3 linked regions of the Rattus norvegicus genome follow. The protein of the gene in region 1 purifies or fractionates together with the protein of each later gene. This does not show direct contact. Links are inferred from orthologs where the notes say so. Each region holds a gene or a part of one and is shown in the gene's direction. Other genes may lie near its edges.

The links. Proteins that work in one complex are often made in the same cells at the same time.
Region 2: the proteins of Ccna2 (region 1) and Pkmyt1 purify together in Homo sapiens (affinity purification with mass spectrometry; 3 studies listed by BioGRID and IntAct, counting the BioPlex papers as one, with this or other methods). This does not show direct contact. The link is inferred for Rattus norvegicus from reciprocal best matches to the Homo sapiens genes CCNA2 and PKMYT1.
Region 3: the proteins of Ccna2 (region 1) and Cdk4 purify together in Homo sapiens (affinity purification with western blotting; 3 studies listed by BioGRID, with this or other methods). This does not show direct contact. The link is inferred for Rattus norvegicus from reciprocal best matches to the Homo sapiens genes CCNA2 and CDK4.

What each region holds. Positions count from the first base shown.
Region 1 is NC_086020.1:121,354,830-121,358,722, reverse strand, and holds the end of Ccna2 (cyclin-A2), read left to right. Parts: intron 1-196; coding exon 197-309; intron 310-491; coding exon 492-715; intron 716-1,316; coding exon 1,317-1,524; intron 1,525-2,115; coding exon 2,116-2,229; intron 2,230-2,546; coding exon 2,547-2,680; intron 2,681-2,957; coding exon 2,958-3,006; 3' UTR 3,007-3,360; downstream 3,361-3,893. Other genes in the region: Exosc9 (exosome complex component RRP45), read right to left, coding at 3,882-3,893. UniProt on the Homo sapiens protein: Cyclin which controls both the G1/S and the G2/M transition phases of the cell cycle. Functions through the formation of specific serine/threonine protein kinase holoenzyme complexes with the cyclin-dependent protein kinases CDK1 or CDK2.
Region 2 is NC_086028.1:13,251,477-13,255,657, forward strand, and holds the start of Pkmyt1 (membrane-associated tyrosine- and threonine-specific cdc2-inhibitory kinase), read left to right. Parts: upstream 1-1,349; 5' UTR 1,350-1,570; intron 1,571-1,582; exon of another isoform or gene 1,583-1,724; intron 1,725-4,181. UniProt on the Homo sapiens protein: Acts as a negative regulator of entry into mitosis (G2 to M transition) by phosphorylation of the CDK1 kinase specifically when CDK1 is complexed to cyclins. Mediates phosphorylation of CDK1 predominantly on 'Thr-14'. Also involved in Golgi fragmentation.
Region 3 is NC_086025.1:64,769,955-64,774,284, forward strand, and holds the start of Cdk4 (cyclin-dependent kinase 4), read left to right. Parts: upstream 1-1,498; 5' UTR 1,499-1,639; intron 1,640-2,094; 5' UTR 2,095-2,110; coding exon 2,111-2,328; intron 2,329-2,459; coding exon 2,460-2,595; intron 2,596-2,707; coding exon 2,708-2,875; intron 2,876-3,024; coding exon 3,025-3,134; intron 3,135-3,840; coding exon 3,841-3,891; intron 3,892-3,979; coding exon 3,980-4,115; intron 4,116-4,330.

The sequences.
Region 1 (3,893 bases):
GAGGAAGATGACACGTTAAGGTAATTCTCAGTCCTCTTAGTAGCCTACTGATGTATACTTCTTTTTTGGGATTAAGGTTATCCTAGAGCTATGAGGACAGTAGCCCTAAAACCAGAATAAGATATTCAGTGTTGCTTTGCCATTAGGGTGTTTTTATCGAAAGAGATAAATACTTTGACTTTAATGTCATACACAGAATCACCCCATGCTATGGATATATCTATTGTCTTAGAAGACGAAAAGCCAGTGAATGTTAATGAAGTACCTGACTATCATGAAGATATTCACACGTACCTTAGGGAAATGGAGGTAAGGCTCTGTTCATCAAAAATGGCTAAGTGAAGCAGAGAGGCTAACGATGGACACCTGCTAACTGCTAGCAAGTTACTCCAACGCTAAACTTAACGGCTACAGTGTATGTTAATTGTGTCTTTGTGAATGGTGAAGTAACTAATCATAGTTTTAATTAACCCTACTGAGTTTTTCTTCAGGTTAAATGTAAACCTAAAGTGAGTTATATGAAGAGGCAGCCAGACATCACTAACAGTATGCGGGCCATCCTTGTGGACTGGCTAGTTGAAGTGGGAGAAGAATATAAACTACAGAATGAGACCCTGCATTTGGCTGTGAACTACATTGATAGATTCCTCTCCTCCATGTCTGTGTTAAGAGGAAAGCTTCAGCTTGTGGGCACAGCTGCTATGCTGCTAGCTTCGTAAGTCTAGCTAATTTGGTTCAAAATCATCACTCACCACTCCTTCCCCCCATTTATATTCCATTTATATTTTATTGGGTGTTTTGCCTTTGTGCATCGTGCGTATCTGTAGCACATGTGTGGTGCCTGCTGAGGCCAAAAGAGGGCATTGGGTCCCAGTCATTGTGCCATCTCTTCAACCCCCAGTTTTAACACTGACACCTTTAGGGATGGCTATGGGATGATTCTGAGTAGAGGGTGAAACTTGTTTTCAAGTCTAAAATATAAAGCTTTCCAGATCTGGATTTTACATGCCTTGAATGAGAATACATTTTATCACACTAGATGAAGAGTTTGAAAGTATGGTTCTTCTACAATAAAGTGCTTTCTGGAGTATAAACAAATTCTTCCTTACATCAGGAAATTTAAAAAAAAATTGTATTCAGGAGACAAATCAGAAGTCCCTTAGTGATTTGGGCCTATGAATTGGTTTTTAATCATCTCAGCTAGAGATGGCAGTCAACTGTCAGTGGGAGTGTGGTTGGTGGAAGTGAGTAGAGTACAGTCTATGTAGACAAGACCTTCTTTTGAAAAAACTCATTTACAACTTCTTTTGTTATAGAAAGTTTGAAGAAATATACCCCCCAGAAGTAGCAGAGTTTGTGTATATTACGGACGATACCTATTCCAAGAAGCAGGTTCTGAGAATGGAGCACCTTGTATTGAAAGTCCTTGCTTTTGACTTGGCTGCACCAACAGTAAATCAGTTCCTTACCCAGTACTTCCTGCACCTGCAGCCTGCCAACTGCAAGGTAGAAAGCTTAGCGATGGTAAGTCCAGTTTGGGGTTTGTTTTAGGTTGCAATTAGGGGCAAGCCCTTAGTTTCATTGTATAACACTGCTTAAGAGAGAAAGTATTTCCAGATAGTTAATGCTCCAATACACAGAAAATCCTATAGCCCTCTATATCTGTGGGCTCTGCGCATATGGAATCAATGAACAGACATTAAATGTAACTGCCTATGTACTGGATAAACACATATCAATCGATCTTTTTTGTATTACACGTAATATTGTACTAGTGATATGCATGTAGCATTAGCTTATGAAATGGCATATGTAAGAGACTTGAGTATCTGGTGTCCGTGGATAAGGGCTGAGAGGTCCAGGAGAGAATTTTCCAATGAAGGCCCAAAGATGACCATTCCAGAAAGGCACTAACTAGTGGTTTAAAGAGAACATCCTAGTAGCTGTTTTAAGTTATTAGCTGAGAATAGAGCAGAACATTGAAATAATTTTCCCAGGGCTGGTACGGAACCAGTGAGAGTACCCAAGACAATAGAAACTGGTCAAGAAGCAAGGTTTTGAATCTGAGTCTGATGTGTGACTGTAAAGTTGTTTTGGTTTTGGTTTTCATTGCAGTTTTTGGGAGAGTTAAGTTTGATAGATGCTGACCCATACCTCAAGTATTTGCCATCGCTTATTGCTGGAGCTGCCTTCCACTTAGCTCTCTACACAGTCACAGGACAAAGCTGGGTATGTATTAACTGTTGCCTTCACAAGTATTGGTGTTCTTTGTCTTAACCTTAAACTTGCATTTGAAAGCTCTGCTTCTAGAGTCTGAGTCACCTGCTGCGAGCAGGGGAAGTAAACAGTCAAAAGAGTGAGCTAAAATGTGGGGGTTGGCACTCTCGGAGGCAAAGGGGAGGGGTCAACATTTGGAATGTAAATAAATTTATAAAAATTAAAATTAAAAAATGTGTCAAAGATTAGTGCCAACATTTAGATCAACTGTGAGTTCATGGTCAGTGCCCTGTGCTGTTACTAAAAACTCAATGGTTGTCTCTTTGTAGCCTGAGTCATTGGTACAAAAGACTGGATATACCCTAGAAAGTCTTAAGCCTTGTCTCATGGACCTTCACCAGACCTACCTCAAAGCACCACAGCATGCCCAACAGTCAATAAGGGAAAAGTACAAGCATTCAAAGTAAGAACCATATTCTTTACTGACTAAAGGATAACAGTAATATGCCACAGCCACCTCAGTAAGATCTTATGTCAACATAGGAAGCTTTTGTGCCTTTGCATCTGGTAAGAGATGGGTAAGGGAACAGATATGTGTCCTAAGTATCAAATGTTTTTAAACTCATTAGTCTAATCAAATAAAAGTAGCATTTCTCCAGTCTTGGGACGCATAAATTGTTTGTTCTGTGATCTCCCCGATGAATGTTTACTAATAGGTTTTTATTTCCTCTGCTTAACAGATATCACAGTGTTTCTCTTCTCAACCCACCAGAGACACTAAATGTGTGAGAGTGAAAGACTGAAATGGAAATCGCTCAGAGTTCATGCTGTACAGTTTTTATCTTTGGTTTTAATTTCACAATCATTTCTGAATGTAGATGGTATAGCCACAGACAAATTATGTTATCCATTACTTTTAAAATGGTTTTAATTTGTATATCTTTTGTACATGTGTCTATCTTAGATTTTGGCTAATTTTTAATTGGTTTGTTAACATTGGTGCTGCCAACTGTCAAGATAATAAGAATAAATTGATTTGGAAATCTTTGAAAGTGATAGATAATTTGGCTAATTTTAATTGGTTTGTTAACATTGGTGCTGCCAACTGTCAGGATAATAAGAATAAATTGATTCAGAAATCTTTGCAAGTCAAAGTTAATTTGAGGCAAAAAGAATGATGTCACTTAAAAAAGCTAATTTGATTTGTTTTATTGTTGAGGGTGGGGTAGGGAAAGCTTTTTATAAAATAAAATATTTCAGGGAAAGATGCCTTCAAATTTTGACATTGATTTTAATAATTGTAAGCAACCAAACCAAGTTTCTGACTTGGTTATAAGTAACCAAAAGTAGATGAATCTGTTTTCAGTGTAGCAGAACTCATTCAGAGCTCACATGTTACAGTAGTTTATGGAGACATTTTATTTACCAACTTTTACAAATAAGGTTTTACATGAATTGGGAAGCTTTTATGCAACAGAAAAGTTTTCCAGAAAGTTTATTCGAAGCATAATGTTAAAGACAAAACAGTTTATTAAGTTCAGCTCATAATAGATTTTCAAATAAAAAATATCCAGAGCTGTTAGCACTGAGCAAATACCCTCTTATTAGTTATATATATATATATTTTATATATATATATACATACACATCCACACCACTTTAGCTTAATTAGCAGT
Region 2 (4,181 bases), on another chromosome or scaffold:
CCTCCCCTCCCTCCCTCTCTCCCTCTTCTCTTTCTCTTCCTCCTCCTCCTCTTCCTCCTCCTTCTTCTAAAGGGCCTGGAACTTCTGATATCTATTATGGTAGCCTCAAACTAAAAAAATTCTCCTGCCTTAGCCTCCCGTTCCTCAGTGCTGGGGTTACAGAGCTATATACCACTATACCCAACTTTTACTTATCGTTTATTTGATTGATTTTAAGATAGGGGTCTTGTTATAGTGCCCAACTGGCCTCCAGTTCCTGGGCTCATGTGTTCTTTCTGCCTCGGCTGCCTCCGTGCTTGGGGTATAGGCATGTACCATTGCAGTATTTTTAGTTATTGTGTTTGTTTGTTTATTTGTTTGTTTTAATCATTATGAATTAGACTTTGAGGAATGAATAGTTAGAAGTGGGCAGGGCCTGTCCAGAAAATGGGGCCGGCAGAAAGTAGTTCTAAATAGTTGGAGAGGGACCTGCCTGGGGTCCTCAACAGGGACTAACCCAAGTCACAAGGTTCTGGCTCTCGGAGACGCTAATGCAAAGGGAAGGGCTTGGAAGTGTGCTGCTCTTGATCTTGGGTCTAGGTAGGGCCTGGCCTTCCTTCCTAAGAGATTGCCAGAACATTTTAGGGAGACTGGCTGTAAAGCATGATACCTCACTTCTACATGAAATCGATAAAGGTCCCTTTCCTGCAGAAGCAAGCTCCATCCCACGTTTGCTCACGCAGGCCTTCTGCAGAAATCATCTTAGGTTCCTTGGCTCCACGTCTCGAAGAGAGGTGACAATCTCAAGCTTGGGAATGCCCAGCATATACCGGCAGTTATGAGGGCAGGAAGAGACTGAGAGGGGTCTGAGTTGAACACTAAGTTCAGAACTAAAGGATGTAAACTGCCTCAGAAGTAACTGAAGTAAGGAGACTCCACCTTAGACGAGGCACTCTCAATCGCGATCCTGTGGTGAAGAGAACAGGTATCTGAATGTGCAGAAGATCATGCGTAACGGACATTTGATTGAGCTGCCCCAGTGGCAACTTCCTGAGGAAATGCCCCTTTTATGGATATGAATATTAAGGCAGCCAATGGAGAGCAGCGGGTAGGAGGACCATAGTTTGAAGGCCGACAAATGTCCGGAGGACACCGACGGGTCAAGGATCATTCCCACCTGGTCTCTAGGACTAAGAATTTAGCTACCTAGTCGGCAATAGTCCCCGAAGAGGTGCGCCTGCGCAGGGAGAGCGCTTGGCCAAACCTCGGGGGCGGGGAGACCTCGGTGCGCACGCAGGACGCGAGGCGGAGCCAGTGCCCCGGGCGCCTGACCGGCTGTACCAGGAGGGGGCGGGGCCACAGACGAGCCTGGGCGGGGCCTCGAGGCCGGTTTGGAATTTTTGGCGCGAGCTGGCTCCGCGCGCGTTCACGGGCCGTTCCCCTTCTTGGAGGGTGCTTCGTCCTGGTGTCCAAAGGCCCCGCTGCCCGATCCCGGCCTGCCTGGCTTCTGCGAGGTCCCCAGCGGCCTCCGCCGACCCGGAACCTGGGACCTCGCTGCTGCGCCGCGCTGCGCCCCGCCCAGCCTCCCCAGGTGAGCCCATACCCGAGTGAGATCTCCCGGCCGCGCCGCTCTTCTGCCCGGCGCCCTGGCCCGCGCTCCTGCTGCACTGCGCCCCGTGACGGACCCCCAGCCTCCCCTCAGTGTCCGGTCGCACCCCTGCAGCAGCCCCACCCCTCCCTGTTTGTCACGGGCTCGGCTAGCCCTCAGATGACGCCAGGTCAGCGCTGTCGTCCACGCCCCGCCTACTTCCCCCGGGCCCTCTGTCCCTTCCCACTGGGTCTGCCCCTCTCCCCCCCACCCCCCGCCACTCTCTGGGAAGAGCCCCTTGACCTAGTGACAGCCTGTCTACGCAATTGTTTGTCAGAGTTCCCCAGCCCACTGAGCGAATTTAGCAGCGGCCCTGCACGAGAGGAACTCAGTCTAAGCTAGGTGGTGGTCATCAGATGTGTCCACAGCTCAGTAAGGGTGAGGCCCCTGGAAACCTCGGAGGTCTCCTGGCTGACTGGTGGCTCAGGACCACTCTGGACTCAGCCAGGACTCCACTACCAACCCTTTTCACCCCATAAAGGCTGTTTGACCAGGCCAGAGGTATTATAATGTAAATGACCAGTGACTTTGAAACGAAGATGACATTAAGAGGAGAGAGCCTTTCTGGCTGAAGACAGAAGGTGATGGACTCCTAGGTGCTAGGCATGGAGTCTGTATTCCTTCTTCCTTTAAAAAAAAAGTCTTCTTGTTATTTTTTTTAACATATGGGTATTTTTGTCTGTATGTGTGTTTGAGCACTACGTTTGTGCCTAGTGCCACATAAGTCAGAAAAGGGTGTCAGAACCTCTTGGAATTGGAGTTGCAGATGCTTATGATGTCAGTGTGTCAGAGAAACAAACCTGGTCCTTTGGAAGGGCAGCAAGTACTCTTACCACCCACCCCCCTTAAGGTTGTCCCTTCACAGTTGTAGGTTTAATTAATCAGCATTATCATGGATCGTGACAGTCTAATTCCTTCAAGAAGACCTGGGATGGGATTTGTGTTTGTTATCTGGGGGTGAGGGGGCATCAAACCCAGGACCCTGATTGTGCTAGGCAGGTACTCTTATCACTAAGCTAAAGGCCACCTCTGAGATGGGATTCTTGAAGTAAATAGAGCCATAACAAGAGAGCCTTCCAGCCAAGCCTCTTAATTTAAGTACCTAACCTAAGTAGTAATTTGATCTACCCAGCACCAGAGGCTAGGTGTGGCATCTTTTGATACATTGTGGCTTCCCCAAAAATGGACTCTTTCTGTTGCTTTCTTACCTTTGTTTCAATTACAACATTGTAGCAACCTTCTGCCCCTTCTGTCCCCCGGGCACACAGTTAGTTAACTGACACGGTTACACTACTATACTTGAGTCATTTCAACTACTATCTAAAGCACTGATTAAGACAGCAGTTAGCATTCATGCTAGACACCAGTCTTAAGTCCTTCAACGTTCTGTATGTCCGTGCAGAGCAGATTTAGGGCCTGGAGTTAGATTAATAAGTTAGTTGGTTTAGCATTTGCCTAACATGAATCATGCCCTAAGTTCAATATATAGCCCCACATGTAGTGGGACATGGCTATGATCCTAGCTCCATAGAGATGGTGTCAGGAGGATCAAAACATCACAGTTTTCCTTGACTGCACAGCCAGAGAGCTTGAAGACAACCTACACTAGAGAACCTGTCTCAAAACACAAAACAAAACAAAAATAAATCTCAGATTTAGAAAGCGCAGATGAAAGCCTGAGGTGTAGTCCTGCTAGAATGCTTTCCTGGCATGTTAGCCCCTTGGTTTGACCCATAGTGACTAATAGCTTTTAAATAACAGTTTGATCCATAAATGAATAAACATCCTAAGAAAGCATATATATATATATATATGTATATATGCTTTATATAATATATATGCATATGCTTTTTATATATAATGTATTATAATGTATATGTGCATATATATATATATATATATATATATATATATATATATATCCCCACCCCTGGTGAATCTGGGGCATCCATTCCAAGATCAAACACTAATATTTCTGTCCTTGAATGTCAGCTAATGGTGCTAGCTCATGCTTGTAATTCTAGCACTCAGAAGGCTGAGACAGGATGATTGCTTCAAGTTCAAGATCAGTCCAGACTACATAGACTTTTCTCAAAACAAAACTATAAATTTCTGGGTGAGAAAACTAGATAAAGTTGATTTTTTTTTCCCCTGAAGTAAATTTTTTTTTTATGTAGCTACCCAGTTGTTGAGAAGATTCTGCTTTCCTGTTGGATTGTTCGGCATCCTTTTTGAAATAAGCATTTCCAGCTCTCTGGAGGTTGAGGCAGGAGGCTGCTCAAAGCCAGCTTGAACTACATAACGAGTCCTGTCTTGAGGGGGAAAAAACACAAAACAAAAAAAAAAAATTTTAAGACAGGGTCACTCCGTGTAGACCTGGCTGTCTTAAAACTTGCTTTATGGGCTGGAGAGATGGCTCAGCGGTTAAGAGCACCCGACTGCTCTTCCAGAGGTCATGAGTTCAATTCCCAGCAACCACATGGTGGCTCACAACCATCTGTAAAGAGATCCGATGCCCTCTTCTGGTGTGTCTGAAGACAGCTACAGTGTACTT
Region 3 (4,330 bases), on another chromosome or scaffold:
TACACTTAGTTCTTGGGAGATGGAGCAGGAGGGTCAAGTATTTGAGTACATGTCCATTTTAAGACCAACCTGGGCTATATGAGACCTTGTTTCATTAAAACAAAACAGTAAAAACAGCCAAAGTAGTTGCTCATGTCTGTAAAAACAGCATTTAGAGGCTATGGCACCAAGATTGCTATTGAGACCAGCCTCCTCAGCTATAGTGTCTCAAATATGATTTGAGAGTTTAAAGTTCAGGAATATAGCTCAGTGACTGAACCAATTCTTACTACATATAAAAACACTGACTCCAATCCTCGGCACCAAAAATAGGTCTAGATTTTAGCAATTCTTCACAGTTGGGAACATGGTCTTTTATCCTCATGCTCCTAATTGATGGGAGACAATAAAGGAGTTGGAGCCAACCAAATCGTCACACAGATCTACCTCTATCTGACTAGATTTCTGTAGGCAGACCATTTAGGAAACGCTGATCAGGGCAAGGGTACGTTCTAAGCAGGACTGGGGAAAAAAAGGAATGTGACCCCTATGAGGAGTCACAGGTTTGCAGAGGGACACAAGTCATATTCCAGCAATGTGGTGGTGACTGCCCTTGGATGTGCTCACCCTGTTGTCTGTTCATGCAATCACATATATATATAGCAATCTTAGTGTAAAGACACTTGTAAGATCAAGAACCCTTATTTCCAATAACTTCTTGCTGCTTTTAATATTCCTGGGGAGGTTTACAAGTTGGGAAGAAGGAGGGCATTACATTGTCGCCCCCCATACAGCGGCTTACTATGTTAATCTTCTTCTATCCATCTTTTAGTTTCCTCCTCGGATAGAAATTGTCTACTCCCTGTTTTTATAAGACCACGGTTGCCTTATTAGCTATCTTTATCATCACTTCAAAGGGCGGAGTGACTGAGACACCAAAACAAAAACATCGCATACCAACTGGAAGGAAGCACTTAGTAAAATTTTGTTGAATGAATGAGTAAAATGAAGACACAAATACGAATGTTTCCCCATGGCGGTGGAGTGGAAATGTTACAGCACCATCTCTGGCACCAGGATCTCCCACTAGCACCTCGACCTCCCGCCCACATAGAGACGCGTAGTGAGACTGAAGATGCTCTCAGGCTCGGCCTTGAGCTGAGCGTTGAGAGCTGGTTGGCCCGGTTGCCATGGCACCGCCTTGTGCCCCACCCTCTCTCGCCCCCACACACCCCCTCCGCAGTCAGGGTTTGGCAGCCGGTCACGTGCCACACAGCGTAACCACACCTCCGCTTCTCAGCGCAAAGTAAAGGGGTCACGTGGGATAGCAACAGGTCACGTGGCAGTACAGGTCCCGCCCTCTTCCCCCACCACACCCCTCCCATCAAAGGGGCCCCGGTCGCCGAGTGCGCATGGGTGGAGGTCACGTGTCCAGAACGTCCGCCGTCGGCCCCGCCTCCCGGGTTTCCGCGCGCCTCTCTGGCAGCTGGTCACATGGTGAGGGTGGGGGTGAGGGGGCCTCTCTAGCTCGCGGCCTGTGTCTATGGTCTGGCCCGAAGCGTCCAGCTGCCCGGGACCGATCCCCGGTGTATGGCGCCGCAGGAAACGGCTCCCGGGCCCAGATAAAGGGCCACCTCCGCAGCTCTTGGCCGAGCGTAAGGTGAGTGCAACCCTTTCCAGAAGCGGGGGGCCAGTCCCCACGAGCACTAGCACCCTCCAGCTCCCCACGCGTGCGCGTCGCTGGCTGAGTATGGAAGGTGGCCCAATGGCGGGAAGTGGGGCCTTTGTGGTCGTGGGCGAGGGTGTGATTTCAGAGAGTGAAGCGCAGACTGTTCCATGCAAGCCCTGTGCACTGTGATCTTCTTTGTGCCGGGCGCAATGGTCCTCCGAAAGAAAAGAAAGCATTCTTTTCTTCCTCCAGGACAAAACGTGGCTGGAAGAGGGTTTGTTGGAAGTCTTTGTGTTACCTAAGGAGCGCGGGCCCTGGATGTGTGGAGGGTGGGATGCTGGTGATAATGTTGGTGAGGTCTTGTGCAGGAGTTTCTTTGTTACTGCCGGGTCATCTCCTCCTAACTGTGAGAGAGAGCTTGGTATTAGAAGCCTCTGTGATTGTAGATCCCCTGCTCCGAGAATGGCTACCACTCGATATGAACCCGTGGCTGAAATTGGTGTCGGTGCCTATGGGACGGTGTACAAAGCCCGAGATCCCCACAGTGGCCACTTTGTGGCTCTCAAGAGTGTGAGAGTTCCTAATGGAGGAGCAGCTGGAGGGGGCCTTCCCGTCAGCACAGTTCGTGAGGTGGCCTTGTTAAGAAGGCTGGAGGCCTTTGAACATCCCAATGTTGTACGGTGAGAAGGTTGGATTGGGAGTGGGGCGGAGAGGACAATAGGACCCGTTAGTCAGGAGTGGGACCCTAGAACGCCAGAGGCCATGTTGAAACAAAGGGGATGGCCAGCTCCTGACCATTTGTTCTTCTCAGGCTGATGGATGTCTGTGCTACTTCCCGAACTGATCGGGACATCAAGGTCACCTTAGTGTTTGAGCATATAGACCAGGACCTACGGACATACCTGGACAAAGCACCTCCGCCGGGCTTGCCTGTTGAGACCATTAAGGTGAGTGGAGGGGTGGGTGGAGGTGGATTGATATGTGCAGTAGAACTTGTTGGGATTTTGGACACAGTGATACATAGTTTCCACAGTTCTCTGCTTCTTTCTTCAAAACCAGGATCTGATGCGCCAGTTTCTAAGCGGCCTAGATTTCCTTCATGCAAACTGCATTGTTCACCGGGACCTGAAGCCAGAGAACATTCTAGTGACAAGTAATGGGACAGTTAAGCTGGCCGACTTTGGCCTAGCCAGAATCTACAGCTACCAGATGGCCCTCACGCCTGTGGTCAGTAAGACAGTAGCCGGAATAGGTTGGGATTCGGGGTAGGGCTTGGTGGTTTCCCAAAGCGACTAAGGAGTCTTGTACTTGAAGTTTTCAGAGCCAAACAGTTGTTTACGAGGACAACACTCACTTATTTCTCCTATTCTCTTTAGGTTGTTACGCTCTGGTACCGGGCTCCTGAAGTTCTTCTGCAGTCTACATATGCAACGCCTGTGGATATGTGGAGTGTTGGCTGTATCTTCGCAGAGATGTTTCGCCGGAAGTATGGGACTAGAAACATTTGTTTTGTTTGCCATGGGACAGGGTTTTTCTGTGTAGCGCTGGCTACACAGAAACGAGATCAGGCAGGCCTTGAACTCTTGCCTCTGCCTCCAGAGTGCAGGAATTAAAGGCATGTACCACCACTGCCTGGCTGGGACTTGAAACTCTTAAGCCACCTTCAGTTCCACAGATCTTTTGCTGCTCTCTCACGGTGCTAGAGGTTGGAATCAGGACTCACGTACACTCAGCCATGCCTCTATTTCTTTTTCTTTTTCTTTTTCTTTTCTTTTTTTTTTTTTTTTTTTTTTTCAGAGCTGGGGACTGAACCCAGGGCCTTGCGCTTGCTAGGCAAGCGCTCTACCACTGAGCTAAATCCCCAACCCCTCAGCCATGCCTCTGTACCACTAAACTAAACACTCTGCCCCAGGTCTTTTACAGACTTATCTGTTCTTGACCATTCTTGTGCATGTACAGTGCAGGATACCCAACCTGGGGTTTCCATAGGCATGGTCCCCTGCCATCCAGCCATAGTCCCAGCCTACCCAGTTCATACCAATCACCTTGCCTAGAAAAGAAACCACATGGGCAAATCTGAAATGCCCTGGATTTAGTAACTTCCTGTTCCTTAGCTCCACACTCTAGTTTGGTCCACTTAACGGTTACTCCGGTTTTTAAAAGAATGTACTTTGACTATCTTTCTACCTTAGGCCTCTCTTCTGTGGGAACTCTGAGGCTGACCAGCTGGGCAAAATCTTTGAGTAAGTATCCACTAAGGAAAAGGAAAGGAACATTCCATAGCAACTGGCTGGGAAGGGGCCCCTCCTGACAGTTGTCCTGTCCCTACAGTCTCATTGGATTGCCTCCAGAAGACGACTGGCCTCGAGAGGTCTCTCTTCCTCGAGGAGCCTTTTCCCCCAGAGGACCTCGGCCAGTGCAGTCAGTGGTGCCGGAGATGGAGGAATCTGGAGCGCAGTTGCTGCTGGTACTGGGCCTGAGCAGGGATTGGGTTAAGACAAGACACGGCATGGCCTGGGAAGCTGGCTCAGTGGGTAGAGCTCCTTTGCATAAGTACTGAGGACCTGAGTTCAAATCCCCAGAATCCACGTAGAAGTCAGGTGCTTCTGTAGTGCCATTCTTGTGGCGAGATGGACAGATCCCCTGGTAAGACAGCAGTGCTGGACTTTGTAAAAGATGGAG